4 linked regions of the Stegostoma tigrinum genome follow. The protein of the gene in region 4 purifies or fractionates together with the protein of the main gene of each other region. This does not show direct contact. Links are inferred from orthologs where the notes say so. Each region holds a gene or a part of one and is shown on either strand. Other genes may lie near its edges.

Evidence for each region.
Region 1: the proteins of ncl (region 4) and ribosomal RNA processing protein 1 homolog A purify together in Homo sapiens (affinity purification with mass spectrometry; 3 studies listed by BioGRID and IntAct, with this or other methods). This does not show direct contact. The link is inferred for Stegostoma tigrinum from reciprocal best matches to the Homo sapiens genes NCL and RRP1B.
Region 2: the proteins of ncl (region 4) and rpl8 purify together in Homo sapiens (affinity purification with mass spectrometry; 3 studies listed by BioGRID and IntAct, with this or other methods). This does not show direct contact. The link is inferred for Stegostoma tigrinum from reciprocal best matches to the Homo sapiens genes NCL and RPL8.
Region 3: the proteins of ncl (region 4) and hsf1 purify together in Homo sapiens (affinity purification with mass spectrometry; 3 studies listed by BioGRID, with this or other methods). This does not show direct contact. The link is inferred for Stegostoma tigrinum from reciprocal best matches to the Homo sapiens genes NCL and HSF1.

What each region holds. Positions count from the first base shown.
Region 1 is NC_081365.1:1,311,478-1,319,709, reverse strand, and holds the start of ribosomal RNA processing protein 1 homolog A, read right to left. Parts: upstream 3,004-8,232; 5' UTR 2,991-3,003; coding exon 2,870-2,990; intron 1,723-2,869; coding exon 1,640-1,722; intron 68-1,639; coding exon 10-67; intron 1-9. UniProt on the Homo sapiens protein: Positively regulates DNA damage-induced apoptosis by acting as a transcriptional coactivator of proapoptotic target genes of the transcriptional activator E2F1.
Region 2 is NC_081365.1:43,926,649-43,934,496, reverse strand, and holds the start of rpl8 (large ribosomal subunit protein uL2), read right to left. Parts: upstream 3,177-7,848; 5' UTR 3,169-3,176; coding exon 3,031-3,168; intron 2,627-3,030; coding exon 2,485-2,626; intron 1-2,484. UniProt on the Homo sapiens protein: Component of the large ribosomal subunit. The ribosome is a large ribonucleoprotein complex responsible for the synthesis of proteins in the cell.
Region 3 is NC_081355.1:158,994,017-159,001,632, reverse strand, and holds the start of hsf1 (heat shock factor protein 1), read right to left. Parts: upstream 3,354-7,616; 5' UTR 3,082-3,353; coding exon 2,986-3,081; intron 1-2,985. Other genes in the region: ribosome biogenesis protein bop1, read left to right, coding at 3,698-3,790. UniProt on the Homo sapiens protein: Functions as a stress-inducible and DNA-binding transcription factor that plays a central role in the transcriptional activation of the heat shock response (HSR), leading to the expression of a large class of molecular chaperones, heat shock proteins (HSPs), that protect cells from cellular insult damage.
Region 4 is NC_081367.1:43,733,203-43,741,366, forward strand, and holds the start of ncl (nucleolin), read right to left. Parts: upstream 3,291-8,164; 5' UTR 3,193-3,290; coding exon 3,175-3,192; intron 1,898-3,174; coding exon 1,793-1,897; intron 923-1,792; coding exon 775-922; intron 1-774. UniProt on the Homo sapiens protein: Nucleolin is the major nucleolar protein of growing eukaryotic cells. It is found associated with intranucleolar chromatin and pre-ribosomal particles. It induces chromatin decondensation by binding to histone H1.

The sequences.
Region 1 (8,232 bases), on a different chromosome or scaffold from region 4:
GAAACTTACTGGCATCCAGATTTTTGAAGGCGTGTATCAATTGGGAAATGGTGTTTGCCAGTTCTTCCTGTAACAAACAGTAGAGATTTTATTCAGTTGAACCACACAAGCCTAGATCTCCAATTTTCAATTTGTGATCAACTCTTGTCCAGATGAAGGGGGCGCAGATGCATACTTACTGCCTGCAGAAAGGAGACTGAACAACCCTGTCACAGAGTTACATCACATGAATGCTTCAGTGTGCCAGTGGCAACACTCACCCCCACAAACACATTCTGTGCTTCCTACAACCTGGGACTCTTCATTTTCTGAGTGAGGCAGACAAGCCAAACTTCAAATCAAGAACTTTTGACTCAATATTAAGGTAGTTAGAAAACGTCAACAAAAAGACACATGGCCACTGGAGAACTGCTTGTTAGGTCAAAGAGAGCTCACTGTCTGTCACTTGACAGTCCTGCTGCACACAGTCCAGGTCAGACCCTGCAGCACCTAAGGAACATTAGCAAACCCAATGGGTTTTTCTGACAATCGACAATGGATTCATGGTCATCATTAGATTCTCCATTCCAGATATTTACTGAATTCAAATTCCACCATCTACCATGGTGGGATTCAAACCTGGATCCCCAGAACGTTATCAGGGCTGTGGGTTAACAGTCCAGCAAGAATATCACTAGGCATCACCTCCCCATCCACAGTCCCATCAGGGTTTGCTAACAAAAGTACACCGAAAAACCACACACACAAATCAAGTAATGAACTTCAACAGGAACCATCCCAGTGCGCACACATGAAGCTGCGTGCGAATACTATTTTTTGGGCAAGATCACACTGCAGCAACAGAGAACTACGCCAAGAGGAAGAAGAATACCTCTTCCAAGTGTTCAAGGATAACAGATATCCAAAGAACTGGGTCAGAAGAAGATGACTACACGAATAGCATCAGAAAGATTCTACACACTACCGTACATTCATCACACTACCCTACATCAGGAACATGTTGGAACTCACCACAAGACTCCTACGAATGCTGGGCATCAGAGTGGCACAACCCTACAACAACTGCTCACCTGAACTAAGGACCCACTCCCTGCCATGGACAGGGCCAATGTCATCTACAAAATCCCCCGCAGAGACTGTGAGAAACTCTACATCAGACAAACAGGAAGGAAACTAACAACAAGAACACCAACTGGCTACAAAAAGACACGATGAATACTCACTCATCTCAATCCACATGGACACGGAGAACCACAACTTCGACTGAGACAACACCAAGATGCTGGGACAGGCTAGGCAGAGACAGGCACGGGAATTCCTGGAAGCTTGGCACTCCACAAAGCATGCTATTAATAAACACGTCAAACTCGACCCCATATACATTCCACTACGAAGGAAAACTGGAAGTGATGCAATCCATCTCAACGGACCCAAGTTTAAAAACCAGACAGGAAAACACATTGGCTCTTCATCGGAGGCTGCACTGAGGATGTTACCAAGCACGGTAATAAAACATTTGCAAAACAACGAACCAGCTCAACAAGCCAAGCAACCTCAACACCCACAACCCAAGCTATAGATCTACTCTAAAACCTTTGCAACCTGCTGTTGGGGATGCCCTCCTATAATCATGACTTACCTGTAAAAGTGGTTTGTCCTGCATCCACATGCAGTAGAAAATGCCCTTCCACATTTTCAGTAACTCTTCCTGACTGAAACCACCTTATAAAAAATAAAATAGAATGAATTGTTGGAGTTCTGAAAACTACAGCATCATGCATACACCAATGGACAATAGCCTATACAATTACCACATGTCAAACAGCATCATGCAATAAAAGACGACTTTTCTGGTAGCTTCTGAGGAGATGCATATTATTTCACATCCAGTGTAAGTATACTTATCATGATGTAGAGAAGTCTTGTCTCTCCAGTCTGCAACCTCCTTCAGTGTCATCCTTCTTTCAGAAATTGTCTTTTCCATTGCTTCTTGTTCAGTTCCACCTGGCTCCACATATCACCAGCTGTTACTGCAACCTGACAACTTTAGTCACCTCTTGTTCTTTTCCAAATCTTACTTTTGTCAGGTTAATCCAGGATCAGTTGGTGGACACCTCCTTCTGTTCACTGTGAGCCCACTAACACCTACACCCACAGAGAATCAGCTCACTGAACTCATCCTCTCATTGCCCTTCCACATCTACACTGCCCCAACAGTCACCGGTGGCATTCTCCAAAAGTGACGCCTATAACCCTTGTACCTCCCTTTACCTGGTAACCCAGATCCTCTTCAGCACTCATCAGTCAACAGCAGAGTCACCAGACTTCCGCTTCCCATTGGATCCCCATGTCGTCCAACATCATCTGTCCTAACCCATCCCCTCTCCCCGCCCTATCCCTCTCTTCTTTTCCACCCTGCCTGAATATTGACAGGCCTGAAGAGAGCAGATGTAGAGATGTTTCCACTAGTGGGACAGACTAGGACCCAATGGCTTGGCCCAAAGTGATGAGACGACCCTTTAGAACTGAGATGAGGAAGAATTTCTTCAGCCAGAAGCGGTGACTCTGTGGAACTTATTACAGTAGGGGGTTTTGGTGTTGAAGTGACAGAGTGTACTTCGGACAAAAATAGATAGGTTCTTGATTAGTAAGGGGATGACTAGTTATGGGGAAAAAGCAGGAGAATGGGATTGAATAACATATCAGCCATGACTGACGGTACAGCAGAATCGATGGGCTGAATGGCCTAACTGCGCTCCTCTATCTGACTGTCTCTCTCTGCCCACCCCTCAGGTACCCACGTGTGAATGTCATGCGCCCCCCGGTGCGTTCCGGGGGCAGAGGGACGGAAGCCCCCCGCTGTTATTACCTGAGAGTCGTTGCGAGCGGGCACTCAGGTAGCGGCGGAGTTTACGAACGGCTCGATCCCGAAAGCGCTTCTCGTTGGAGGCGAGCCGCTGGGCAAACTGAACCTCGGCGGCGGCCGCCATGTCCGCACAGGGAATGCTGGGAATGCGGAGGGCCGAGGGCCGCCCCTGCGCAGTGGATGCCCCCTGACGTCAGCGCGCAGCGTCACCATGGGAACCACGCAGGGCCTTCTGTGTTGACCCTCGTCAGTGAGCAGCGGTGGGACTTCGGCCACTCTTGCCGGATTGGGGCCTGGAGCGGCTAGCCCAGCTATCAGGGGCACAATGACCGCGGTAACGTCAACTACTGTCCACTGTCAGCACCCACTGGAAATCCAGCTGAGTCCTGAAGAAGGGTAATAGCCGAAACGGTGACTTCTCCTTTCCTCCAGCCTCCGCCTGTCTTCCCTTCCACCCCGGGGCCTCTGCAGTTTTTTCCTGTGTCAAACTCACTGGAAATCGCGCCTTGCTATTTTCCAAGTTATCACAAAAATATTAAAATTAGTACATAAAATTTTCCACCTTACCTGTTGTCCAGATCAAAGTCGATAGAAAGCACTGCCCAGGTTTCTGTAATTAACAAGAATGACTTTATAACCAGCGAATAGACCCTTTGCAGTTAAACAGTGACAAACGTTCTTCCCTTACAACGCCCCCCCACTCCCCACAAACACACACACACACACACCCCTCCGTCACATACAGAGACAAAACCAGGCTTTTGTTATCCATAATTGGTCACCAGGCCATAAACCATATAAACCAAAAGAACTGCAATTGCTGTAAATCAGGAACAAAAACAAAGTTGCTGGAAAAGCTCAGCAACTGTGAAGGAGAAAAACAGAGTTAAGTCACTGAACCCGAAACGTTAGCTCTGTTTTCTCCTCCACAGATGCTGCCAGACCTTCTGAGCTTTTTCAACAACAGTGTTTTTGTTCCATAAACCATATAACACCTTGTAGACAACCCCTCAGCTTCAGTCTGACCACAAACTAAACTTCAATTGCTGCTTGTTTCAAACACTGTTTCCTGCATGCTTGCCATGAGGCTCATGTGACTTGTTTTTCAAAGCATGCAGTAAACTTTTCAAATAATGGTTTTAAAACAGTCCTTTCTGCTTTCAGGACACAATTGAAAGAAAACACGCAAAAATAAAAATACACACACTTTATAGCATGATTACCTTCACCATTGACCATGGTAATATTGGTCAATAGCCATGGTCATACAGCACGGAAACAGACCCTTCGAGCAAACCAGCCTATGCTGACCAGGTTTCGTAGAACACAACACACAAGAGTACAGCACAATACAGGCCCTTTAGCCCATGATGTGGTGCTAACCTATTATCCTACTGAGATCAATCTACCCTGCATATCCTACATTTTACAACCCTCCATGTGCCTATCCAAGAGTCGCTTAACAGTCTCTAAAGTATCTGACTCCACTACCACTGCCGGCAGTGCATTCCACACACCCACCACTCTGTATGAAGAACCTACCTCTGACATCTCCCCTATACCTTCCTCCAATCACCTTAAAATAATGCACCCTCGTAATAATCATTTCCACCCTGGGAAAAAGTCTCTGAGTGTCCACTCTATCTATGCCTCCAGGCGTAGCCTTGCCAACACCCTTAACAGCTGCAGCATAACCTCCCTGTTTTTAAACTCCAGTCCTCTAACAATGAAGGACAACATTCCATGTATCATCTTAGTTACCTGCTGCACCTGCAAACCATAGCCCACCCTGGCACAACATCCATGGCTGCAGATGACCAAATGTCTTTGATAGGGCCTCACAGTTTCTCCCCTAACTTCCCACAATGTCCTGGGATACACTTGATCAGGCCCCAGAGATTCATCCACCTATATGTTTTTTAAGACCTTTACCTCTTCTTTTGTATTGTGGACTGTTTTCAGGTCATCAATATTTATTTCCTCAGTATTTATTGACTTCCTTCCATTTCTTTCTCCTCAGTAAAAATTGACATGAAATAATCTCCTGTCGCCTGAGATTCCACACAGAGGCGATCTCATTGATCTTTAAGAGGTCCTATTCTCTCATAACTTCCTCTTTTGCTCTTAATGTACTTGTCGAATCACTTTGGATTATATTTGAGATAATAAAGTGCGGAGCTGGATGAACACAGCAGGCCAAGCAGCATCTCAGGAGCACAAAAGCTGACGGTTCAGGCCTAGATCCTTCATCAGATCATCAGATTCATCTGATGAAGGGTCTAGGCCCGAAACGTCAGCTTTTGTGCTCCTGAGATGCTGCTTGGCCTGCTGTGTTCATCCAGCTCCGCACTTTATTATCTTGGATTATATTTGACCTTGCCTGCTAAGGCTATCTCATATTCCCTTTTTGCCCTCCTGATTTTCCACTTAAGAATGCCTCTACACCCATTGTACTCTTCACTTGAGCCCAGTTGTCTATACCTAATATATACCTACTTATTTTTGACCAGAGCGTCAATATCTTTATTAATCTATTATTCCCTACTCTTACCAGCCTCGCTCTTCACCCTAATTGGAGCAGAATGCCTCTGAAGTCTCACTATCTCACTTTTGAAAGCCTCAAACTTGTTAGTCATGGAGTCATGCAGCATCAAAACAGACCCTTCGGTCCAACTGATCTGCAGTGACCGTAATCCCAACCTAAACTAGTACCACCTGCCTGCACTTGGCCCATAACCCTTCAAATACTTCTTGTACAGGGCCATGGTGAGACCACACTGAGAATATTGTGTGCAGTTTTGGTATCCTTTTCTGAGGAAGAATGCTCTTGCTCTTGAGGGAGTGCAGTGAAGGTTTACCAGGCTGATTCTGGGGCTAAGAAGTTGTGGAGCTGGATGATCACAGCAGGCCAAGCAACATCTTAGGAGCAGGAAAGCTGATGTTTCGGGCTCTGGCATGTTATCTCGGTTTCTCCAGCATCTGCAGTTCCTATTATCTCTGATTCTGGGGATGGTGGGTCTGAAGTATGAGGAGAGATTGACTAGGTTGGGATTGTTTTCGCTAGAGTTCAGACAAATGAGGGGGGATCTCATAGAGACTTATAAAATTCTAACAGGACTGGACAGGGTAGATGCAGGGAGGTTGTTCCCGATGGTGGGTGTGTCCAGAACCAGGGACACAGTATGAGGATTTCGGATAGACCATTTTGGATGAGGGTGAGGAGACATTTCTTCACCCAAAGAGTGATGAGCCTGTGGAATTCATAATCACAGGAAGTAGTTGATGCCAAAACATTGAATGTATTCAAGAGGCAGCTAGCTATACCGCTTGGGACAAATGGGATCAAAGGTTATGAGGAAAAAGCAGGATTAGGCTTTTGAGTTGGACGGTCAGCCATGATCGTGAAGAATGGCAAAGCAGGCTAGATGGGCCGAATGACCTCCTCCTGATCCTATCTTCTATGTTTCTATGTTAGTCATGTACTTACCTAAATGTTTTTTAAACAGAATTCTACCTGCATCCACCACTTCCTGTGGGAGTTCGTTCCACACATGAACCACTCTGTAAAAAAAATCTGTATCTTTTTAAAATCTTCTGCCTCTCACCTTAAAAATATGTCTCCTAGTCTTGAAATCCCCTGCCCTGTGGAAAAGACACCCGCCATTCACCTTACCTATATCCATTGTGATTCTATAAACTTCTATAAGGTCACCCCTCAACCTCCTACACTTCAGTGAAAAAAGTCACAGACTTTCCAGCTTCTCCTTATAAGCCAAACCCTCCATTCCTGGCAACATCTTGGTTAATCTCTTCTGAATCCTCTCCAGCTTAATAATATCCTTCCTACAACAGTGCGACCAGAACTGGACATAGTACTCCAGAAAAGGCCTCAGCAAAGGTTTTTTACATCCTCAACATAATGTCTCAACTTCTGTACTCAGAGGTCTGAGCAATGAAGGCAAGCCTGCTAAACACGCTTTTAACAACCTTATTTATGTGTGATGCCAACTTCAAAGAATTATTTACCTTAACTTCCTACCTAACTTCTTACATTCATTCTGCAAATCTTCAACCCTTTCCCTAACTATGTTGTTCTTACCAATGCCCATGACCATTGTTGCATTGCCCATTAACACTGGTAATCTTCACAATGAATCTTGGTAACCTGTGCCAGGGCTTTGCCCACAACACTGACAGACCAACTTCTTCGGATAGATGCCCAAATGTTTGGCCAAAGAAGGAGGTTACCTTTTTATTCATTCAGAGTCACTGCCAAGACCAGCATTTGTTGCCCATCTCAGTAAGGGTCGATTAAATTGCTGTGGACCTGGAGTCACATGTAAGCCAGAACACGTAACGGTGGCAAATTCCCTTCCTGTAAGGACTTGAGTGAAAATGATGGGTTTTTAAGATAATTGACAGCAAGTAACTAGATGGTCAGCATTAGGATAGTTCTTTCTCTCAGATTTAGTTTTATTTTAATTCAAACTTCACCATATGCTGTAGTGGAATTTGACCTTATGTCAAGGGAAAACAGGTGGATTCGCTCTTGTTGGAGATAGCATTTGTGTGGTGTGAATGTTACTTTGCCAGTTGTCAGGTCAAACTTCAATATTGTCCACATCTTGCAGCATTTGGACATTTACTACTTCAGCATCCAAGGAGTCAAGGATGGTATTAAACAATACATCGTCATTGGTCAACATCCCCACTTCTGACCATCAGACAGATGGAATGTTGTTGATGAAGATCTGAAGATAGTTGGGCCAAAAATACGACCCTGAGAAATTCTGGCAGTGTGACATCCTGGAGCTGAGATGACTAACCTCCAACAACCACAACTGTTTTCCAATGTGCCAGGTATGACTCCAACCAATAGAGAGTTTCTCTGATTCCTGCTGAGGTTTGCTCAGCCCTTGATGCCACACTTTTGGAAAATACAACCTTATTGTCAAGGGCAGTTACTTTCCCCTCCCCTCTGGAGTTCAGCTTTTTGTCCATGTTTGGACCAAAAATACAATGAGGTCAAGAACTCAGTGGCCTTGCAAAAGCCAAATTGGATATCAGTGAGTAGGAGCTGCTTGATAGCACTGATGTTGACACTTTCTGTCTCTTTACTAATGATTGAGTATGGTGTGACAGGACAGTAGTTGGCTGTTTTTGATTCGTCCTGCTTTTTCTGGACAGGGTATACCTGGGCAATTTTTCACCTTGACAGATAGGTGCCAGTATTGTGGCTGTATTTTTATGGTTCATGAGATGCAAATGTCAATGGCTGATCCAGCAATTTTTCCCTGTACAGAAAATGTCCTTGAGAGGGTGAATGAGAGCTACTCTTGAACTGTTGTAGCCTTTACAGTAAACTG
Region 2 (7,848 bases), on a different chromosome or scaffold from region 4:
ATCCAAAAAGGTCCTAGCAAGGAAGGCAAGCATGCTAAACACCTCCTGAACCATCCTATATACACATGTTGCAAATTTCAAAAGAATTATGTACCTGAACCCAAGAGTCCCTGTTCCACATCACTAAGCAAGGCTCCACTTTCAACTAAGTCCGTCCCTGCTTGTTTTACCTAAAATGTATTATCTCATATTTATCCAAATGAAACTCTACCTACCACTCCTTAGCCCAAATGAATGAAGATTTCTTTATAATCTTGGATAACCTTCTTCAGTGGGCACTACACCACCAATTTTGGTGTCATCCACAAACTTACTAACTATGCCAGTTTCATCAAGATCATTTAGATAAAATGATCAACAAAAGTGAATCCAACACTAAGCCGTTGAACACCACCAGTCTCAGGTGTCCAGTCTGAAAAATAATCTTCCACCATCATTCTCTATCTCTTGCCGTGAAGACAATTTTGTATCCAACTGGCAAGCTCAGCCTGAAACCAGTGTGATCTTTTACTAATTGGTCTACCAATCAAAACTTTGTCAAAGGCTCTACTTAAGTCCCAATAAACAACGTCTATTATACTGCTCTGAATCTTCTTGGTTACTTTGTCGAAAAAATCAAGTTGGTGAGAGACAATTTCCCCCCTCACAAAACCATGCTATCCGTAACTTTTCCTGGTCTTTCCCAATGCGGACAGCTATCTTTCAGGGTCACCTCCAACAATGTACCCACTGTTTAAGTAACACTCACAGGCTTGGTTCAGACTTCTCCAAACGTCCCTTTTTAAACAAAGGTAAAACATCAGACAGACATTCTCCACTCATCTGGCACCTCTTCCATAGCTATAGATGGTACAAATACTTCTGCAAGGGGCCCCAAAATTTCTCCCCTAACTTTCCACAACATCTTGGCATACACAAGATCAGGTCGTGGAGATTTATCCACTTTATAATTTTCTCAGACCTCCAGCAGTTCCTCTTATGTAATGTCAGCCAATTTCAAATTGTGAATATTTCCCTGAGTTCTCCAGCCTCCATTTCTTTCTCACATTAAAAACTGAGAAAATATTCATTTAGTCTCTCCCATCTCCTGAGGTTCAACATGACCTATGATTTTTAAGGAGCCCTATTCTCTCTGTAGGTGCTCTCTTGCTCTTAACGTACTTGTAGAATCGTTTTGGATTATCGTTTACCTTATTTGCCACAACTCTCATATTCCTCCTTTGCCTTCCTGATCTGAAATGTATGTTGCTGCCCCATCACATCATCATCCCAAAATCTCTGTTTTACAATAGCTTCTATCACAGTTTTGGAACTTGGATCCGTCATAACTTTATTTCAATAGTCACCTTTTCCAGGAACTAACTAAATAAGACCAGAGTTAATACAAAACCTAACTGGTTTATTTGATTAAATTATTTACCAAATACCATAATAAGACCTTAAAATATAACAGCAAAATCAGGATTCACCCAAGCAAGTCTATTCTGCCATTCAATTATAGCTGATTTGCTTCTCAACCCCATTCTCCTGCCCTTCCCCATAACCCTTGATCCCCCTTGTAATCAAGAAACGGTCTTAAATACATTCAATGTCTACGCCTCCAAAGCCCCTTGTAGTAACGAGTTCCATAGAGAAATCACTTCCTGGCTGAAGAAGTTTCTCCCCATCTCAGTTCTATAGGGTCATCCTTTCACCATGAGTCTACGTCCCAGGTCTGAGTCCTTCCTCCGAGTGGAAGCATCTTGCCCAGTCCACCTCTGAGATTCTCCCCTCAACTTTCTAAACTCCAAGTAGAGACCCAGAGAGTCCTCGAATGAACCTTCTATGACAAGTACTTCATCCCCAAGATCATTATTCTAAACCTACACTGGACTCCTGCCAACGTCTACACATCTTTCCTTAGATGAGGTCCAAAATTGCTCACAATATTTCAAACACGGTCTGCACAGAGCCTTGTACTGCTGAGGGACTATATATCTGGCCTCTATTCCAACCATCTTGAAATGAATGCTAACATTGCATTTGCCTTTCTTACTGCCAAATGAACCTGCAGGTTAACATGACGAGAATCCTGAACTAGGACTGCTCGGTCCCTTTGCACCTTAGATTTCCAAAAGCCTTGCCCCATTTAGAAAATAGTCTTTGCTTCTATTCTTCATGCTAAAATTTATAACCTCACTTTGTCAAACTGCATTCCATCTGGCACCACTTTGCCCACTTGCCTTATATGCCCAAGTCCTTCCGCAGCCTTCCTGCTTCGCAACATTATCTGTCCTTCCACATACCTTGTGTTATCTGCAAACAGAGCAACAATTCCTTTGCCCAGATCACTAGTGTATAACGTGAATAGCTGTGGTCCCAACACTGACCCCTGTGGAACCCCACTAGGCACCAGCTGCCATCCCTAAAAAGACCACAGAAATTCACTAAATTTCATATTTATATATATCAAAAAAACCAATTATATAATTTCACACATCTTACCCTTCTTGCCACAGTAGATAAACTGACCGGTGTGAATACCCTCTGCTGCAATGAACAGCTCAGTCCTCCTTTTGAACCTGTAAGGATCTCGGAACACCACCTTTGCTAAAGGAGCACCACGACCAGGGTCATGAATTATATCCTGCAAAGTAAACCAGGAATCTAATTACTTTTATAATCAGTCCTGTCATAAATTTAGCTATTTAAGCTGCTGTGATTTTTGAGAAAAATTTATGGTTTAATCCTTAAACATGAGAAGGGAAAGATTTAAAAAGGAAACGGAGGGCGATGCATGTATGGAAGAAGGTGCCAGAGGAAGTGGGGACAGGTGGGTACAACTACAACATTTAAAAGGCACCAGGATGGGTACACGAATAGGAGGAGTTGAGAGAGATATGGGTCAAACGGTGGGAAATGGGACTAGTTCCGTTTAGGATATCTGATCAGTGTAGACAAGTTGGATTGAAGGGTCTGTTTCTGTGCTGTATTACTGTGATTTATTTAATTCCTATATTTAAAAAATTCCATTCTTAAATGAAAACTTACCTTCACGATACCCTTGATATAACCATGACGTTCAGCAAAATCCACAGCTCTCAACTTTGCAGGACCTTTCCTGTGTTTCACATGAGCTTTGAAGACAGAGCCTGCACCCTTTCTCTGACCTCTAATTACACGACCCATTATGCAGCCTGTAAATACAAAAATCCAGTCTAAATATGTCCTAAAACTATCCTAAAAGTTAAAATAACATGGATAGTATACAAACTTCAGAACTACTGAAATTTTGCATTCAGTTAATTAGTCAGTAAAATGTAAAATTACAGGTATAAGAAAAAAAAGGCCCAGATATTCTGATGGAACAGCACAAATTAGAGGTGCAAATGAGAACCATATGGAATCCCAGACTCCATGGAAACAATTAAAGATTCTGATGATTCATCTGACCCTCCAGAAGAATCTATCAGAGGCAGAAAACTCATATAGTTCTACTGTTGGTTACTCCAGGAAAAGTTAGATGAATAAAAACCTAGTTCAACTACTCGTCAATGTTAAGCTGAACCCCCAAACACACCTGACAGTCACTTACCATCTCGGGCATCAAAATTCTGTAGTCCCCTCAACACATTTTTTGATATACCCATAGCAATCTATCACTTAGCTGGCACTCCAACCTCATATGCCTATCCTTTCACAGTAACTGTCAAAATGTTTGGTTCTTTGGATAACACTAGTAAGTGGGTAAATATATGGCAGATGCAGTATCATATGTATCAATGTGAAGTTGTCCACTTTGATAGCAAAAACAAAGAGGCAGATTTTCATCTGAATGGCAGTGAAATTGGAGAAGAGAAGGCACTTGTTTTGTAAAGAAGCTGGCGAAGGAAATTATATGATTATAAAACCTTAAGATGTAGAATCAGGCCATTATTGCATATCTTATTAGTTTTTAAAGTCTTTGAAATCTACAATCACAGGTTGTTATTCTGCTCCTTGTTTTCTTAATACTGAGCTCATATTTCTTTTTCCCGGGTCTTTTAGAAATGGCACTGTAAGTGATCATGCAAGTGCAGCTGGCAAAGACAACAATTACATTTATCTACATGGCAAGAGGATTCAACTACAGGAGCAAGAATGTTTTGTTAAGACCATACCTGGAGTAGTGTGCGCAGTTTGGTCTCCTTATCTGAGGAAGAATGTTCTGGCTATCGAGGGAGTGCAAAGAAGGTATATCAGACTAACTTGTGTGATGACAGGATTGACACATGGGGAGAGACCAGACCTCCTTCATTAGGATTCAGAAGGATCAGGAGACACCTCGTAGAAATCTTCAAAAGTTCTAAAAGATTAGAGGGTGGATGCAGGAATGATGTTCCTGATGACCAGAGAGTCCAGAATCTGGGGTCATAATCTAAGGATTAGGTCTTGGATGAGGGAATACAAATTCTTCACCCAGAGAATGGTGAGCCTGCAGAATTACCTGCCACAGCAAGATGTTGAGGTCAAAACATTGAAGACTTTTGAGAATGATGTAAATACAGCTTTTAGCACTAAAGGGGATCAAATGAGACCAGCCATGATCACAATGTGTGGAGCTAGATGAACACAGCAGGCCGAACAGCATCTGCTCCTAAAATGCTACTTGGCCTGCTGTGTTCATCCAGCTCCACACTTGGTTATCCTGGACTCTCCAGCATCAGCAGTTCTCATTATCTCTGACTAGCCATGATCACGTTGGTGGGTGGAGCAGACTGAACGGCCTACTCCTGTTCTTATTTTCTATGCTGCTGGACATTTAAATCTCAGGTCATGGCACACTCACTGCTGCAAGAGGACATCGTTTGACTTCTCCCAGTTCACTAGGAGGAACTATTTGCTTTTAGCTACTCACGGCATTTCTAAACGACCCGGGAAACAGAAATACTAGCTCAGTATTTAGAAAACAAACAGCAGAATAACAACGTGTGATTGTAGATTGCAAAGACCTAAAAACTAACGGAAGTTCCGCAATAATGGCCTTATTCTACATCTTATGGTTTTACGATCTTAAACTTCGTCAGCTTCTTTACGAAACAAGTCTGAATTCAATTTATTCTCAGTTCTTCCACTGGCAATAACCTAACCACAAATCCGTGCTAGTACAAAATATACCAAATCAGGGAGTCAGGAAAAAATTAAAACCTTTAACGCTGTTACTTATCCATAAATACAGCGTCTTCATACCCGGGGGCTCCATGTTACTGGAAACAGGCCCCGCGATCAAAGATGTATTTTAAACTGCGACATATCCGGACATTCGATAAAATACATTCTCAGCAGAAACACCGACATGATGCTGATTAACTTTGTTGAACAATATTAACCGGATGGCTGTTTGAACAGGGGATTAGACACGGATTGTCACCATTTACCCCCCACCGTACCATCCTTACCTCAAACACTATCCAGGCGAAAGGAAGTCACTCTCCAGCGCGCGACTACTTCTTCCGGACCCGTGGACATTGTCAGTAACATTACATATCTCCACAAATAATGTGCTGAAAATAAAAGATGATTCTTTTGAAGGCAAACTGTGAACGATATTCGTCAAAATTAAAAACATTTTAAAATTAAACTGGAGTTGTTTGCGTGACTTGGTATTGCATGATGGGTACTGTAGTTTTTTTTCCTTCTGTTCCCTTTGGGCCTGTGGCCTTAGGGGGGTGGCCCTAGACTTAGGGGGTGGCCATGGGCACCCGCATGGGCCCCAGCTATGCCTGCCTCTTTGTAGGTTACGTGGAACAGTCCCTCTTCCGCACCTACACAGGCCCCAAACCCCACCTCTTCCTCCGGTACATTGATGACTGTATCGGCGCCGCCTCTTGCTCCCCAGAGGAGCTCGAACAGTTCATCTACTTCACCAACACCTTCCACCCCAACCTTCAGTTCACCTGGGCCATCTCCAGCACATCCCTCACCTTCCTGGACCTCTCAGTCTCCATCTCAGGCAACCAGCTTGTAACTGATGTCCATTTCAAGCCCACCGACTCCCACAGTTACCTAGAATACACCTCCTCCCACCCACCCTCCTGCAAAAATTCCATCCCCTATTCCCAATTCCTCCGCCTCCGCCGCATCTGCTCCCACGATAAGACATTCCACTCCCGCACATCCCAGATGTCCAAGTTCTTTAAGGACCGCAACTTTCCCCCCACGGTGATTGAGAACGCCCTTGACCGCGTCTCCCGCATTTCCCGCGACACATCTCTCACACCCCGCCCCCGCCACAACTGCCCAAAGAGGATCCCCCTCGTTCTCACACACCACCCCACCAACCTCCGGATACAACGCATTATCCTCCGACACTTCCGCCATTTACAATCCGACCCCACCACCCAAGACATTTTTCCATCCCCTCCCCTGTCTGCTTTCCGGAGAGACCACTCTCTCCGTGACTCCCTTGTTCGCTCCACACTGCCCTCCAACCCCACCACACCCGGCACCTTCCCCTGCAACCGCAGGAAATGCTACACTTGTCCCCACACCTCCTCCCTCACCCCCATCCCAGGCCCCAAGATGACATTCCACATTAAGCAGAGGTTCACCTGCACATCTGCCAATGTGGTATACTGCATCCACTGTACCCGGTGCGGCTTCCTCTACATTGGGGAAACCAAGCGGAGGCTTGGGGACCGCTTTGCAGAACACCTCCGCTCAGTTCGCAACAAACAACTGCACCTCCCAGTCGCAAACCATTTCCACTCCCCCTCCCATTCTCTTGATGACATGTCCATCATGGGCCTCCTGCACTGCCACAATGATGCCACCCGAAGGTTGCAGGAACAGCAACTCATATTCCGCCTGGGAACCCTGCAGCCATATGGTATCAATGTGGACTTCACCAGTTTCAAAATCTCCCCTTCCCCTACTGCATCCCTAAACCAGCCCAGTTCATCCCCTCCCCCCACTGCACCACACAACCAGCCCAGTTCTTCCCCCCCACCCACTGCATCCCAAAACCAGTCCAACCTGTCTCTGCCTCCCTAACCGGTTCTTCCTCTCACCCATCCCTTCCTCCCACCCCAAGCCGCACCCCCAGCTACCTACTAACCTCATCCCACCTCCTTGACCTGTCCGTCTTCCCTGGACTGACCTATCCCCTCCCTGCCTCCCCACCTACACCCTCTCCACCTATCTTCTTTACTCTCCATCTTCGGCCCGCCTCCCCCTCTCTCCCTATTTATTCCAGTTCCCTCCCCCCATCCCCCTCTCTGATGAAGGGTCTAGGCCCGAAACGTCAGCTTTTGTGCTCCTGAGATGCTGCTTGGCCTGCTGTGTTCATCCAGCCTCACATTTTATTATCTTGGAATCTCCAGCATCTGCAGTTCCCATTATCTCTGGGCCTGTGGCCTTTGTCTGTTAATCAGCTTCTTGGTTTCTGGGAACTCCCAGTTTACAGGCGCCCTGCACTTAATGGTAAGGAGCTGCATTATCCAAAAAGAATCAACAGTTTCTTTCCAGTTTCAAGGACAAACATAGTGAATGTTTTATTTTCAAAAATTGAAATTAAAGATTTTCTTTTCTATCAGTGCAGTGCTGATATGTTAGCCTCTTTTTGCAAAGGATGTTTTATTCATAAATGATCTGAACGAATATTGCAAAAAATTCAAATAAGATATTACACAAAAAAACAATAAAATACAACCTTTCTTCATTGAATATGCTGCACCCTTACTTGCCCCAATCCAGTTGCATCAAATCTAAATTAAACCAGGACTCTAATCACTTTGTCATTGATGCTGCCTTGAAATTACCCATTTAAACTGTTGCAATTTTTGAGAACAGTTTATTACTTCAGTTCTTAAACATTTAATTCTGTAGATC
Region 3 (7,616 bases), on a different chromosome or scaffold from region 4:
GGACTTATACATTTAATGATAAAGTCCTGGGGAGTGTTGCTGAACAAAGAGACCTTGGAGTGCAGGTTCATAGTTCCTTGAAAGTGGAGTTGCAGATAGGTAGGATAGTGAAGGTGGTGTTTGGTGTACTTGCCTTTTTGGTCAGTGCATTGAGTGTAAGAGTTGGGAGATCATGTTGCCTCTGTACAGAATATTGGTTAGGCCACTTTTGGAATACTGTATGCAAATCTGGACTCCCTGCTATGGGAAGTATGTTGTGAAACTAGGAAGGGCTCAGAAAAGATTTACAAAGATGTTGCCAGGTTGGAGGGTTTGAGTTAGAGGGAGAGGCTGAATAGACTGGGACTATATTTCCTGGAGAATTGGAGGCTGAGGGGTGACCTAACAGAGGTTATAAAATCATGAGGGGGGGATGGAAGGGCTAAGTAGATAAAGTCTTTTCCCTTGAGTGGGAGAGTCCAAAACTAGCTTTAAGGTGAGAGTGGAAAGATTTCAAAGGAACCCAAGGGGCAACTTTTTCATGCAGAAGGTGGGGCTTGTACGGAATGAGCTTCCAGAGGAAGTGGTGGAGAGTGGCACAATTACAACATTTAAAAAGACATCTGGATTGGTGTATGATTAGGAAGGGTTTAGAGTGAAATAGGCCAAATGAGACTGAATGTATTCGGGATATCTGGATGGCATGGATGAGTTGGACCAATGGGTCTGTTTCTGTGTTGCACATCTCTATGGCTATGACAAAAAAAGTGACACCAACAGCCAGGTATCCTGCTAAATGTCTACCTTACTGACGCAGGTGTACATTATTCTTCAATATTACCTTTAGAAGGTTGGATTAGTTCACAATACACATACACAAAAAAGAAAGTCAAGTTGCACTGGCTTGTCAACCTCCTTCGACTCCGCAGTAGTCATTTACCACGCTAGGATTACCAATTCTCTGGGAATGTTATAAATTGTAAACACCCTGCCTTGATGCTAATGACCTAGTTTGGAAATAGCGAGTCAATTCAGGCAGAAAGTCAACCCGCATCTAATTGCTTTTTGTCATTTGTTGATTCCAAGGAGAGTTGCTGGCAAAGTCAACATTTTTGACCTTTGTCAGTGACCCTTCAGAAGTGGCACAGTGTTGCTTTCTTGACTCAATGAAGCCCTTGAGGACCAGGTACATCCACAACACTTAAGAAAGGAGTTCCAAAATTTGGACTCAGTGAAGGAAAAGTGTTTGGGAAGGGAACTGGCAAGTTCTTATTTATCTGCTGCCCTTGTCCTTTGAGGTGGTGGAGATCATGGGTCTGGAAGGTACTTCCAAGGAGGCTTAATGAGTTGCTGCACTGCATCTGGTAGATCATACATACTGCTATTACTGAGTGGTGATGGTGGGAGTAGACATTTGAGAATGTAGCGTCAATCAAGCAGGCTGCTTTGCCCTGGACAGTATTATGTTTGAGTGTTGTCAGAGCTGCACACGTGCAGGGATGTGGAGAGTACTCCATCACACTCCTGACTTGCACCTTCTGGATGGGTGACTGGCTTTAGGAAATCAATGTCCATCAGGAATTGCAAGGTCATCAGGCTTTTACATAAATCATTCCATGGGCGTCACTGGAAACGGCAGTATTGATTCCCTTGAAAATGTTGTGAGCATCTTTTTGCAGCAAAGTCCAGCATTATTTTGTGATGGAAAAGCATCTGTGTGCCAAATATGTGGGCTCCAAGGGTAAACAGATCTTTGAAAAAACACAGAACTGCAGATGCTGGAGAATCTGAGATAACAAGGTGTCGAGCCAGATGAACACAGCAGGCCAAACAGCAGAGGAGCAGGAAGGCTGACATTTCGGACCGAGACCTTTTTTCAGAAAAAAACAACCCTTCTGGGTAGGCATCTTTAGAAGAGGCTTTGCAGTGGGGTTAAAATTGTTTCAGAGATAGCAGGAACTGCAGATGCTGGAGGATCTGAGATAACAAGGTGTAGAGCTGGATGAAAACAGCAGGCCAAGCAGCATCAGAGCAGCAGGAAGGCTGATATTTTGGGCCTGGACCCTTCTTCAGAAAGAGGGTCTAAACTGAAAACGTCAGCCTTCCTGCTCCTCTGATGCTGCTTGGCCTGCTGTGTTCATTTTGAAAATGCACTGCTGCCTTAGAATCACAGAATCCCTATAGTGCAGAAAGTGGCCATTTAGTCTGCACCAACTCTGAATAGCATCCCACCCAGGCCCAACCCCACAACCCTATCCCTGTAATCCCACATGGGGTTTTTAACCAGGGAGTTTTAACCCACTTAAGCTGCACATCTTTGGACATAACAGGGCAACTTTTAGCATAGCCAATCCACCTGGCTTAAATATCTTTGGTCCGTGGGAGGAAACCAGAGCATCCATACAGACACGTGGAGAATGCACAAACTCCAGTCACTCAAGGGTGGAATCGAACCTGGGTCCTTGGCGCTGAGGCAATAATGCAAACTACAGTGCTATCTATCACTGCAATACACTGTCTGAATTTAACCTTTGATTATTTGCACGTTTATAGTTGCTTACACAAGTAGGAAACAAGGATGAGAACTGGAGTAGGCCATTCAACACAGTATCAGTGCAAAATTCAGAAAGGCCACTACCACTCAGCAGTGGATTCAGACATAATGAAGTGTGGTAAATAATATTTAAAGCATGGGAGTATAGTTTCAATAAGCCAACTCTTAAACAACGTAAACACAAACAACCTTGCCCACAAAACTGTCACTTTGACAAATAATGATGATCTAGCGTTTTTAAATATTACTTCAAACCACAAATCGACTTAATAAAGTAACTTGTCAGATAATACACTTTTTAATCTTAAGAAAGTGATACAGGGCGTTGGGATGTCATCCTTTTAGCAAGCTATTTAAGAGACTATGTTTATTTAAAGCCCACGCCCCCTTGTGCGTGTGTTTTCTTTGAACGAGGCCTTGCTCAAGGCTTCCTGGGCCTCTGATTTACTTACCGCACTCCAGCAGATCAGGTCATTGGTGTCGGGATCCTCGATTAAAGTCCATAGTTTGGTGAGGAATGCGGGCACATTGCTGCCGTGCGCGTCCATCCGGAGACGCGGCCGGGGCCGACCGTGCAGGCGGCGGACCTCAGGCCCCTAAGCCGAGGAGAAACTGGGGCAGGCACACAAGCCGCTGGCTGGCCTCAGTATTCAAGGACCCGGGCTTGGACCGCAAGGGAAAGGTGGTCTAATCCGCTCAGTGAGAGAAAGGGAACGAAGTGGGGCGGAGGAATCTCCTGAACAAAATGCGATCTCCAAAACGACACCTTATCCAGCAGCGGCACACTCCACAGCAACCGCCGCCATCTTCCTCACGCAGTCTTTCCGGGCCCCTCCCCCCCTCAAACCACCCATTACGCAAAACACGGCCTTCATTTACCTCACCGTTTGAAAAATTTCATTTTCCCCTCCTTGCCGCATCGAGAACAAACCCACTCACTTATCTGCTAGACCTTGTAAGGGCCGTTTTGTTTAAAAAAAGTGGAAAATCCATCTTTAACCTTTAACCTTCAGGCTAACGGGCCAATCACCGTTTCCATTCCCACACCCACCTCCACTCGCTACCCGCCTCCTCAACGTGAACGCTACGTCCGTCCAGTGTCCTCGTGACGTCATGCGTTGACTTAACCTCTGACCTTTCCCGCAGCGCGGCTCCTGCAGTAAGATGGCGGCTGAGAGCATGTCGGTGGCCGGGGACAGGAGGAGCAAAACTGCAGGGAATAAGCGGTCGCTTCCAGATCTCGATGAAACGGACCAGGTCTGTTTGACTGTTGTTTTTGCGGGTGTTTTAACTCGTGTTTTGGGTGCGTCAGTAATTTTCGCTTGAAGCGAGGCAACGAGGGCGGGCGGAAATGCTGTTCTCGAAACCTCCAACGTGGGTCTGGATGAAACCGTAGTTCCTATTCAGTTTTCAAATCACTCCTTTTTCTCTCTACTCTCCCTCCTATTATCTTCTTGTAAACCTATTCGATGACTTGCTGCTGCAGTCCACTTTACCACAAGGAGACTGTGCTCCTTAATGTCGTTCAAGATTTTGATCAAAGGATCATGCGTGTTCTCTCTGAACTCTGGTAATTTAAAAATTGCTTCCCGTGAAGGTGTACAACATGTGGCTTCTTACTGTGGGCTCCACTGCTTTTTGTCATCTCCTTTGGCTTGATAGCATTTGATGAAGGAACAATAATATTGCGTGATTCCAGAACCAGGCATCGCAGTTTAATTATTATCGGGTGCCTGTTTAGGACACATGGTCCCACATGGAAGGCTGGTCCAAAAGGTTATAGCTCTTGGGATTCAAGGCAAGTTAGCAAATTGGATCCAAAATTGGTTTACAAACAGGAAGCAAAGGGTGATGTTCGACGGCTTTTTGGTGATTGGAAGCCTGTGACCAGTGGTATACCATAGAGGGAGGTGCTGGGACCCTTGCTGTTTGTTATAGAACAAAGAAAATTACAGGACGGGAACAGCCCCTTCAGCCCTCCAAGCCTGCACTGATCCAGATCCTCTACCTAAACCTGTTGCCTATTTTCCAAGAATCTGTATCCCTCTGCTCCCTGCCCATTCATGTATCTATCTAAGTACATCTTAATGACACTATCGAGCCTGCCTCTACCACCTCCGCTGGCAACACGTTCCAGGCACCCATCACCTTCTGCGTAATGAACTTTCCACGCATATCTCCCTTAAACTTTTCTCCCCTCACCTTGAAATTGTGACCCCGAGTAATTGAGCCCCCAACTTTGGGGAAAAAAGGGTATAATTAGTAAGTTTGAAGATGACATAAAAACTGATGGTGTTAGTGAGGAGAATGGTCTCGGGCTATAGTCTAATATTGATTAACTGGTAAATTGGGCAGAGCAGTGGGAGATGGAATGAAATCCTGATAAGTGCAAAGTGATGTATTTTGGAAGGTCTAATATGGGAATGATATACACAATGTGTAGTCAGTCGCCAAGGGATTGCTGAGGAACTAAGGGACCTTTATATACACGTCCAGGTATCTCTGAAGGTGTCAATACGGGTAGACAGAGGTGAAGAAGGCACATGAAATGCTTGCCTTCATTAGTCGGGGCACAGAATATAGGAGCAAGGAAGTCTTGTTACAACTTTATGAACATTGATTGGGCCACAAATGGAATAGTGTTTACAGTTCTGGTCGTCACGTTGTTGGAACGACTGGATTGCACTGGTGAGGGTGCAGAGCAGTTTCCCTAAAATGTTGTCTGGAATATAGAGTCTCAATTATGAGGTGTGACAAGATAGGACTTTTTTTCCTTCCTTGTAAGAGAGGATGTGTTTAAGACCAGAGGCATAGCTTGATATGCAGAGAGAGTGGTTTAGAAGGAAAATTCTTTTATCCAGAAAGTGGTAGAAATATGGAATGTTCGTCTTCCCTGGACTGACCAACCCCTACCAACACTCGCCTTTACGCGCTCCATCCCTGCCTTCTTGACCTATCTGCCTCCTCTCCACCTATCTGCTCCTTTATCCATCTTTCATCCACCTCCCCCCCTCTCTATTTCAGAATCCCCTTCCCCTCCCCCATTTGTGAAGAAGGGTCCAGACCCGAAACGTCAGCCTTCCTGCTCCTCTGATACTGCTTGGCCTGCTGTGTTCATCCAGCTCTACACCTTGTTATCTCAGAAATGTGGGATGCACTGCCTGAAAGGTTGGTAGAGGCAGGTCCTCATGCAACATTTAAGAAGCATCTGGATTAATGCTTAAAATGCTGGGGCACAGTAAGCTACGGACCAAGTGCAAGTAAAGGGCATTAGTGTAGTTTGGTGTTTGTTGGCTGGCATGGACATGGTGGGCTGAAGGGCCATAGACGGCTTGTCCAAAAGACGTCTTAGACTGAAATGAGAAATCTATTCACCCAGAGTTATTTTCAGTGGAGTTTTTTTTTGTATGCGGAAAGTGGTTGGAGTTTTTTTTTAATGGAGTATGTCTTCTTTTTAAAATGTGAAAAAGTGAAAAGCTTTCACTTAAGATTGTGGAAAAACAGTTGTCTTGTGGAATATAAGATCAACATATAGTTAAAAACCAAAAGAACTGCGGATGCTGTAAATCAGGATCAAAAACAAAGTTGCTGGAAAAGCTCAGCAGGCCTGGCAGCATCTGTGAAGGAAAAAACAGAGTTAATGTCTCACGCCTGGTGACATTCTGAGGAAGGGTCACCGGACCCGAAAGATTAACTCTGTTTTCTCCTTCACAGATGCTGCCAGTCCTGCTGAGCTTTTCCAGCAACTTTGTTTTTGATCCTGATCAACATATAGTTCCCTACGAACAATGAATTTTGAAGTGGGGACCCTTTGCTCGAGCGTGAGTATCTCTTAAGATTATTGTAGAGGGAAAAAGGTTTGAACTCTTATTTCAAGGTTTATGGCGAGGCTTTGACCAGTACGATATAGTTGGTATTTTTGTTTCCTTTTTATTTGTGCATAATAAGCATTGTTGTTCTTTTCTAACAAGTACATTGGCTGCTTCTCATGAATATGTTCATAGAATGATTACTGCAGTGAACAAATTGCAGAAATAAAACTTAAGGCTTGTCAAACCAAGATTTATGAACCAGCCCAGTTCGTCCCCTCCCCCCACTGCACCACACAACCAGCCCAGCTCTTCCCCCCCCACCCACTGCATCCCAAAACCAGTCCAACCTGTCTCTGCCTCCCTAACCGGTTCTTCCTCTCACCCATCCCTTCCTCCCACCCCAAGCCGCACCCCCATCTACCTACTAACCTCATTCCCACCTCCTTGACCTGTCCGTCTTCCCTGGACTGACCTATCCCCTTCCCTACCTCCCCACCTATACTCTCTCCACCTATCTTCTTTACTCTCCATCTTCGGTCCGTCTCCCTCTCTCTCCCTATTTATTCCAGTTCCCTCTCCCCATCCCCCTCTCCGATGAAGGGTCTAGGCCCGAAACGTCAGCTTTTGTGCTCCTGAGATGCTGCTTGGCCTGCTGTGTTCATCCAGCCTCACATTTTATTATCTTGGAATTCTCCAGCATCTGTAGTTCCCATTATCACATTTATGCTGGGATTGTCTGGTATTGCCTTCAAATATGGTCATTGGATGTTGCAGGAAACCTTCATGACCTACCTTTCCCTATAAGAGTGGACTTGATGGGCCGAATAGCCTTACTTCCACTCCTATGTCTTATGGTCTTATAATCTATGTCGCTGAAGGATAAAGGCAGGGACATGTGATAGGCACAACACATGTGCTGCGTGGTAAGGTTGTATATGTTAGTACAACATCTCCTCAATCAAACATCTTGGAGATGTTTCAAGTGCAATATTGTTGCTTGAGAGAGGAGAAGTTACTCCAGTCCCACTACTCTGTAAGAGTATGAGAAATAGAAACAGGATTAGACCATTTGGCCGGTTAAGCCTACTGCAGATTAGGATCCTAGCTGATCCAAAATTCATCATATCCGTTTTTCTGCTCCTTCCCCGTAATCCTAGATTGCTCCGACTGATCAAAAATCTATTTTGGCCATGCATATAAACTAGGGCTCTCCCCTCATCAACTCTCAGTTGCAAGAATTTCCAAAGATCTTTAACTCTGAGTGAAGAGGT
Region 4 (8,164 bases):
CCTGGAAGGTAACAGAGGAGTCAGACACACACCAGGTGAAGGTGACAGCAGGATGGAAATTAGGAACAAAATTGATAAATTTTCTCAATTTTAGTTGGGAGGGGGAAGGAGCAAAAAAGCTGACGTTTCAGGCCTAGACTGTTCATAAGAAAAAGCTTTTTCTGATGAAGGGTCTAAGCCCAGGCCTGAAACGTCAGCTTTTGTGCTCCTAAGATGCTGCTTGGCCTGCGGCGTTCAACCAGCTTCACACTTTGTTATCTCGGAATCTCCAGCATCTGCAGTTTCCATTAGCTCTGCTACAATGTGTGTTTTGTTTACACAAATTGGCTGTAATATGATTGATGAATAATAGACACTGTTTGGATAACACTAATTCTCTGCTGTACAGGTTTAGCGATTTTCTATAGCGTGAGGTCATACAAGAACGCAACTACTGCATTACAGGAGAACTACCTGTACTGGAGAAAGATTTGTAGGTGGAGACACCAAGTACCATCAGAACAAGTAATGTTCCACGTAACCCATGAAGAAATAGACATAACTGGTATCCCTGGAGAGCACACAGCCACAACTCTGACCTGTAGCTACTGAGTGGAGTTAAAGGTGAAGTCGTTCAGTATGACCCGAATGGACGATTGGGGTGGTCCCTATCATTTTATAGGAAGACTCACTGTCAACCTTAGAATGATAACCCAGCTGAAGTATCATGGAACATTTTACTGCCCTGAAGATGGCAAGATTAGATGACAAATACTGCGGCTTTTGAGCACCTACCAGAATCATCCTCCTCCTCATCATCTTCCTCCTCCTCCACCTCCTCTTCCTCCTCGCTGCTCTCTTTCTTTACAGCTTTACCATTTTTTTTGTTGGAAGACTGTGGGGTCTTAGCAACCTTCTTAATTGGTGGTGGTGCTGGCAGTTCCTAAATCAATGTCATTTAAAATATAATGTGATTACTACATTTACTAATACATTCAACAATACCAAAAATCTGGTCAGAAATAATATAATGCAGACAAATGGCAAAATTTGGTTAACTTCATTCCATACTCGGGAAAATCAGTATCCCAAGATTCAGTTTGATACAACAAATTTGGAAGCACTGCAACAAACCAAACTCCACAACTTCAAAACGACTGTTAAAAGGACAGTTTTTTTTGATGATAAGTTCAATGTTAAGAGACATGAAGCAATTTATGTTGGTTGGAAGAATGTGGTAGAAAACAAAGAGAACAGGTCTAAAGGAGCAGAGGGAACTGGATGCATATAGATACAAATCATTGAGGATCCACAACAGAAAGCAGTTAACAAAGTGTACAATTGCGCAGGCTTAATTAATTGGGTCATGGAGTACTCAGGCTACAGTGAAATTTCGCAAGGCAGTAATACAACTTTTGCTGGAATATTGCATTTAATTCTGGATGCCCTACTTTAAAATGTGAAGGCATTGAAGAAACGCAAGAAAACATTCACATATGCAGTAAGAAGTACTAGAAACCTTAGTCACAAACGTTGGGACTCTACCTTGGAGAAAAAAAGATTTGAAAAAGGCATTCCAAAATCATGAGGCAGAATAGATAGAAACTGTTTCCATCCTGAATGGATTAAAAGTCTCAAGTGTATTGCCACACTGCACCCGAAGGGAGGTTTAACTGAGGATTCTTCATAGTAAAATTGGGCTGTGTGTTCAAGGTTTCAGGGAGACACAGAAGAATAGCTTTAAGTGAATCATCCACCTGGAGACTTGATGGGCTTAATACATTGTGATTTTTGACTGAAATGGAATAATTACCTCCTCTTCACTTTCCTCATCAGAAGTGGACTCTTCAAACTCTTCAGCAGGTGGTGGTGGTGGTGGAGGGGCAGCCTTTTTAGGTTTTCCTTGCTTGTTACCTGCCTGAAGAATAAAACTAAATTAGATTTTCCATATGCTATACAGAGGGCATAAATTCTACCCTGAAAAATCAAATGGCCCATAATATTTACATCAAATGTGCAATTACACTAGGGAAGTTACTGAGCTCCCACTTTCATGCAAAAGCAACTAAACTATGACTAAAAATTAAACAAATTCAAAATGAGGCCTGTGGTATGAAATATTAGATGCTTTCAGACCCAAGGATTTCCAGCATTCATTTTTTACTTGAGACTCCCAGCACCAGCAAATTCTTTTGGATCAGAGCAAGCAATTTGACACAGATTTAAAATGTAGCTTTAAACACCTATTCACTGCTCATTTTTTTTGTTTTCATTACTCATAACAATCAGTGGTGTTTTACATAACAGCAATTACACTTCAGAAGTATTTCACTGCCCCTCTGGGCATAATCTAAACAAAAGGGTCTAAATAATGATTTTCTTGCTTGCATGCCTATAAAATCCGGGAACAATGATCGACCACATTTGGGCGAGTTTCTTTTAAAATCAGCAATGAACTCAAATGTAGGAATGGCTCAATAGCAATGGAGAAACAAGTTCCAAGCGACCAAAAGCAACCAGGAGAACGCCCGAAAATGGTCAACATGCAGGTTCAAGTCATACACGTGTTTCCCAAAACGTGGACTTGCCTGAACAAGGCGGACGCGTTTGCAGGACGCAACCTTTTTTCGGGGGGGGGGGGGGGGGGAAGAGAAGGGATGTGGAGGTGGACGATAGAAATTGAATTAAACAGCAAAATAAAAATTTAAGACATGAACGTCGGTAATACAGCGGGACTCAGAGACGCGCGAAGTAGCAGGCGGGTGCAGGGCGAACAGGAACCCCGGAGTGCGAGCCCAACGCACTATCAAAGACCCCAATCGGGAGATAGAGTGGATGAGCCCGGAGCTCGGATGGCCCGGGCGAAGGTAGCGACTTAAAACAAACACGAAGCCCGTGGGGAAAAAAGATAGGTTCGGGCGAGGATGGGAACAAATCGCCTGAATTCCCTCCAGCCTGCGCCATGAGCGTAGACACGACGAGTGAGCGTGTTGGGGGAGGGGGGGGTGGAGAGAGGAACGTTATAGGCCGAGACCAACACGCGGTCCAGGGGCCTCGATCTTGCCAGCTCTCAGGGACCCGACGGAAGTCTCACTCGGGCCCCGATTCGCGGCCATCAGATCAGGGAGTCTACAGCCGAAGGCGACAAAGAGCCAGGCAGATTGCACACATAGGCCCACAACATAACTCACTCACCTTAGCGAGTTTCACCATCTTGTCTACACAAGCGAACGGAGCGATCCCACGTGTCTCTGTTCCCCCCGCGAGCTGCGCAGCAAAAGAGAAAGCCACCCGGAACGTCACCACTTTGACTGACATCACGCCCACGTGATGCGTTCTCACCAATCGGAAATTCCAGAACCTAGCCCCGCCCGCAGAGGCTAACCAATCGTGTCCTGGGTTCATGCGTTGGAGGTGGGGCCCTCCACAGCATCCACCTCGGGCCAGGAACGACCCAATAGTCGGGTGGACGAGCCAATCAGAGCTGATCAGTGTTCCAGGCGGCGAATCAGCAGCTCGTGTATTACTCAAAAAGGCCAAATGATGGCTGGGCTACTTTAAAATGGCCGTCCTGAGTATCGAATAAACTGTGGTTTGTTCAAAACTGCTTTCTGATTGGGCTTGCTTCGGGGGGGGGGTGGAAAGATAGGGTTAATTTGGGGTCTACTGTTTCTTGTACGGTTGGGATATTATGAGAGTGAAATCGGTGTTGACTCGCTGAAGTGAAATGGCTTTGGCCGGGGGGGGGGGGGGGGGAGGGTGAGTGAAAGTGATGTAGGAGGCTGAAGCATTGCTTGAATGACATTAAACCAACCTTTTTGAGAGTGTAACGGTATTTTTGTTTAAATTTTTTTCACTTTTCAACTCAACAGCTTATTTGCCGTCGACAAGTTGAACTCATTTGGAGTAAAATAGTTTATTTTCGTTTCTTCACCCTCAATTCTAATTTTATCGTGATGTATTATAAGTTCACAACTTCCCTTTATAAAACTATGAATGTCATATGGCTGATACATGTCCCAAACAGACCTGGAAAACTACAGACCACTGTAATACTGAAAATAGCAGACATGACTAGGAACCTAAAGGGCAACTTTTTCCACATAGAGGATGGTTTGTGTACAAAATGATCTGCCAGAGGAAGTAGTAAAGGCTGGTACAACTACACAACTTTAAACCTATCATGCACCTGGATAGCTACATGAATAGGAAAGGTTTAGAAAGGTATTGGCCAAATGCTGGCAAATGGGATTAGATTAATTTAAAGATAGTAGGAACTGCTGCTGCTGGAGAATCTGAGATAACAAAGTGTAGAGATGGATGAACACAGCAGACCAAGCAGTGTCCAAGGGGTTAAAACTGATTCAGTGTTAATTGGAACTTATTAATTTAAGATGTCTGATTGACCTGGATGAATTGGACCAAAGGGTCTGCTTCTATGCTGTACAAAGCAATGCCTCTTTCACTGGGTACCGGCCATGATTTAGTGAAGGCTGGAATCGAAATGTCTTGGGCTGTGTGCGTCAAAGATTATGTTTTAATGTTAGTGTCAGATATGTGGTGAGGCAGTTCAGAGTATAACGTACAGAGAATGTTGAATTGATTGCACAGTTTGCAATTTGAAGTGAGCTGTCTCAGTCTGAATGGGATGTATTTGCTAAATATTGAAGACTGTTAACATCTGTGCATGTTAGATTTTTTTTCCTAAGTCTAGTAATATTTGTCAAAATGTTTTTGTTTGCAAATTCTACGAATATGTATATTTTTGGGGCATAAAACATATCCCAGATAACATGTTTGGTGTTGAGAAAGGCCCTTCCTGTGAGATCCTTCTACATTCTCCAAGTCTGTCAGTCTACATTCTGCCCTTGAGATAACTATGGTGAGAAAGAGACTGTTACCTTGAGGACGGTGCCTTTGCAATGGAAATGAGAAGATAGGTGTAACTGTTTCAGTCAAGATTCATTTTAAGCAGCTCTGCGCACCCACAAGTGCAAGACTATTGAGCACAATGAGACAAACAGCTACTGCATTAAGGACTATCAACTTGATGAAAAATGCCCTTTAGTCTCCCTGGAGTTTGCTGGTCTCCCAGTTGTCCTTGACTGAGTATTGCAGAATGGCAAATTCCAATGTCCAGAACTATAGTGCATGCTGAGGAATAAGCTATACCAAGCTTTAGCCATTCTAGATCTGCAGTGATGAAAGGCCTTTCAGCCATAGCATATTAGGGGACTGGAAACCATAGAACACATCAACCTTTGTAACTTAGAACGCACACTACAAATCAAAAGAATTGAACATATATCGAGGCACCTTCAAATAGGAAGTAATGTACAGAGAAAAATGTTATCTCTATTTTACTTGTAATTTGCAATTTGAAATGTTTTGCCCTATGCCTCAAGAGCTGACATGAAATGTGTTTCTTAAATTAGATGTCTGCAATTGGATTGATTGGAACAATGATGTATGGGGTCAAGTTGAATTTTATTGCAAATTCTGTAATGTTCAAGTTGAAATAATTTGCATTGTAATTTTGCAAATGTTATGAATAAAGTTTATTTTTGGAACAAATGTATCCCAGATAATGAAGGTGCCCCAGTCAAAACTTCCCTTTCCATGAGTGACATCAGCATCTTCTGCTTGGATCTGCTGTCGGATTAATTAGCATCTATAACTAGTTCAAATGGGCCTTGTGAGCCAAGATGAAATGAGTCAAAAAGGTGACTTTTTTGGTGGGGATAATGACTGACCTATCCTTTGTCTCCTTCACAATCTGATCATATAAAACTGAAAGTGCTGCGGTTATAGTTTGGAGGAGGCCTGGACACTAAACTTGGAGTAAGTAGCCAAGGTGAGATTAAAAAGTGGACATGGGGGAGTGATGCTTCCTCTTCATTTCAATTAAGAACCTGGTCATTGGGTGCTAGATGATTCGTGTTGCTGTACGTGGCATAGACCTGGCCCAATCCTTGTTCCTAAGCTGTGATGATTGCCCAAGCCATCTTCTGTTTTACTTAGACTTTGAAAATAGATGCTATATTTGGGTTATGATATACAAACTTCCAAAAAAAAGCAGGAAAAATTTACCCAATATTACAGTTATAGTTGCGTGATGTGCATGGATTTTCTGTAGGCAAACCCCAAAAGTCACTGTGCTAGCAATCTACTGTTTGTTGCGATGCTAAGGATATGTCTAATCACAATGCCACTCCAGATAGCTAGACTGTGCCTTGTGGGGAAACTTGTGTGGAAGATATTACACCACAGGTCTCAAGCATTACTAGTACGTAATGTCTTTGAGATCGTGCTGGAAAAGTTCAGAAGTCACATGATACCAGGTTATAGTCCAACAGGTATATTTGGCAACTGAATGTGAAGTCACCTGATGAAGCAGCGCTCTGAAAGTTTGTGCTTTCAATAAACCCGTTGGACTATAACTTGGTGTCGTGTGACTTCTGACTTGGTTCCCCCAAGTCTAATGCTGGCACCTTCACATCATCCTGAAAAAGGAGAAGGTATGTCCTGTCGAATGGTTCCCTTGTGAAGAATGTCAGTTATTTAGCAGAATGCCTTATCAGCAGAACTTGTAAACAAGTAAGATACAACATTTCTACCTCTCAAGGATAGTTTCCAAAAAAAATACACTTACAATCCTTTGGATGTCCTTGTGGCATAAGAGTTTAACCTGAGACCACATTTGGTAAATTGTCAGGACTATCAATGGTAATGAATGTGCAGGTGTCTTCTATGTTGTCTGGATTCTAACGTTTCTTTCCTGTTGGTGTTGTCATTGAAATTTTCTTCTTGAGAGGCAGAGAGAATACTTCTTCCAGCTTGTTTCATTTATGCAGTCAAAAGTCTATCGTGTGCTGTTTCAAAAAAGCTCTTGAAATATAAGCTGACAGTAAATTGCTGGAATTTGATAATCAGTTGTCCATATTTTATATCATCACAACATCTGGCATGCATCTCTGATAGTCCTGTGTAGCACTTCCACACTATTGATATCTCTTGAAAAAATGTAATTGCTGTCAAACTTTTTGACACAGAAACATTAACAATTATTGCATAACAAATGTTCCTACTACTGTAGGAATGGGAACAGTGATAACAAATGCTTTAATAACTTATGTGGAGCTGGATGAACACAGCAGGCCAAGCAGCATCTCAGGAGCACAAAGGCTGACGTTTCGGGCCTAGACCGTTCAGCAGAAAAGGGGAATGGGGAGAGGATTCTGACATAAGTAGGGAGAGGGGGTGAGGTGGACCGAAGATGGACAGACGAGAAGATGGGTGGGGAGGTAGGGAGGGGATAGGTCAGTCCGGGGAAGACAGACAGGTCAAGGGGGCGGGATGAGGTAGGAAATGGAGGTGCGGCTTGAGGTGGGAGGAAGGGATAGGTGAGAGGAAGAACAGGTTAGACAGGCAGGGATGAGCTGGGCTCGTTTTGGGATGCAGTGGCGGGAGGGGAGATTTTGAAGCTGGTGAAATCCACATTGATACCATTGGGCTGCAGGGTTCCCAAGCGGAATATGAGTTGCTGTTCCTGCAACCTTCGGTGGCCTCATTATGTCACTGCAGGAGGCCCAGGATGGACATGTCGTCTGCGGAATGGGAGTGGGAGTTGAAATGGTTCACAACTGGGAGGTGCAGTTGTTTGTTGTGAACCGGGTGTAATAACTTAATTGGAACAGAATTGAGAAGCAATGGCATCAATGTGGACCTTTTTCTTTAAAAGACAGGCATTCAGCTGGTATAGAATATGAAATGTATTCCATCAATTGGGATGGTTGTTCTATGCTGATGAAGTCAGGTTTAGAATTTATACAATTATATTGTTTTGGAGTTGATTGTAAAAGTTGCAGAACTTTCCAAGCCCAAAGGTGTAGTTTTGTGAGCATTATATCTTCAAATTGGATTTGCTCTGCTGCATAAACAAACCTGAACAGTGTAAATTCAATTTCAGCTATTAATAGACAAACTAACACACTTAATAAAGTGACTTCTTGATTGCTGTATATTCTGCAACAAAAGCTGTTTTTTGTTTTGGAAAAAAAGGGTTTTGGAAAACTGCCAATGTGATGCTCCTCTTGAAAAACAGGGCCGGCAAATAAAGACCTAATTATATAGGGCCATTAACCCAACATCAATTGTTGGAAAAATGTTGGTTTTCGTTACTAAG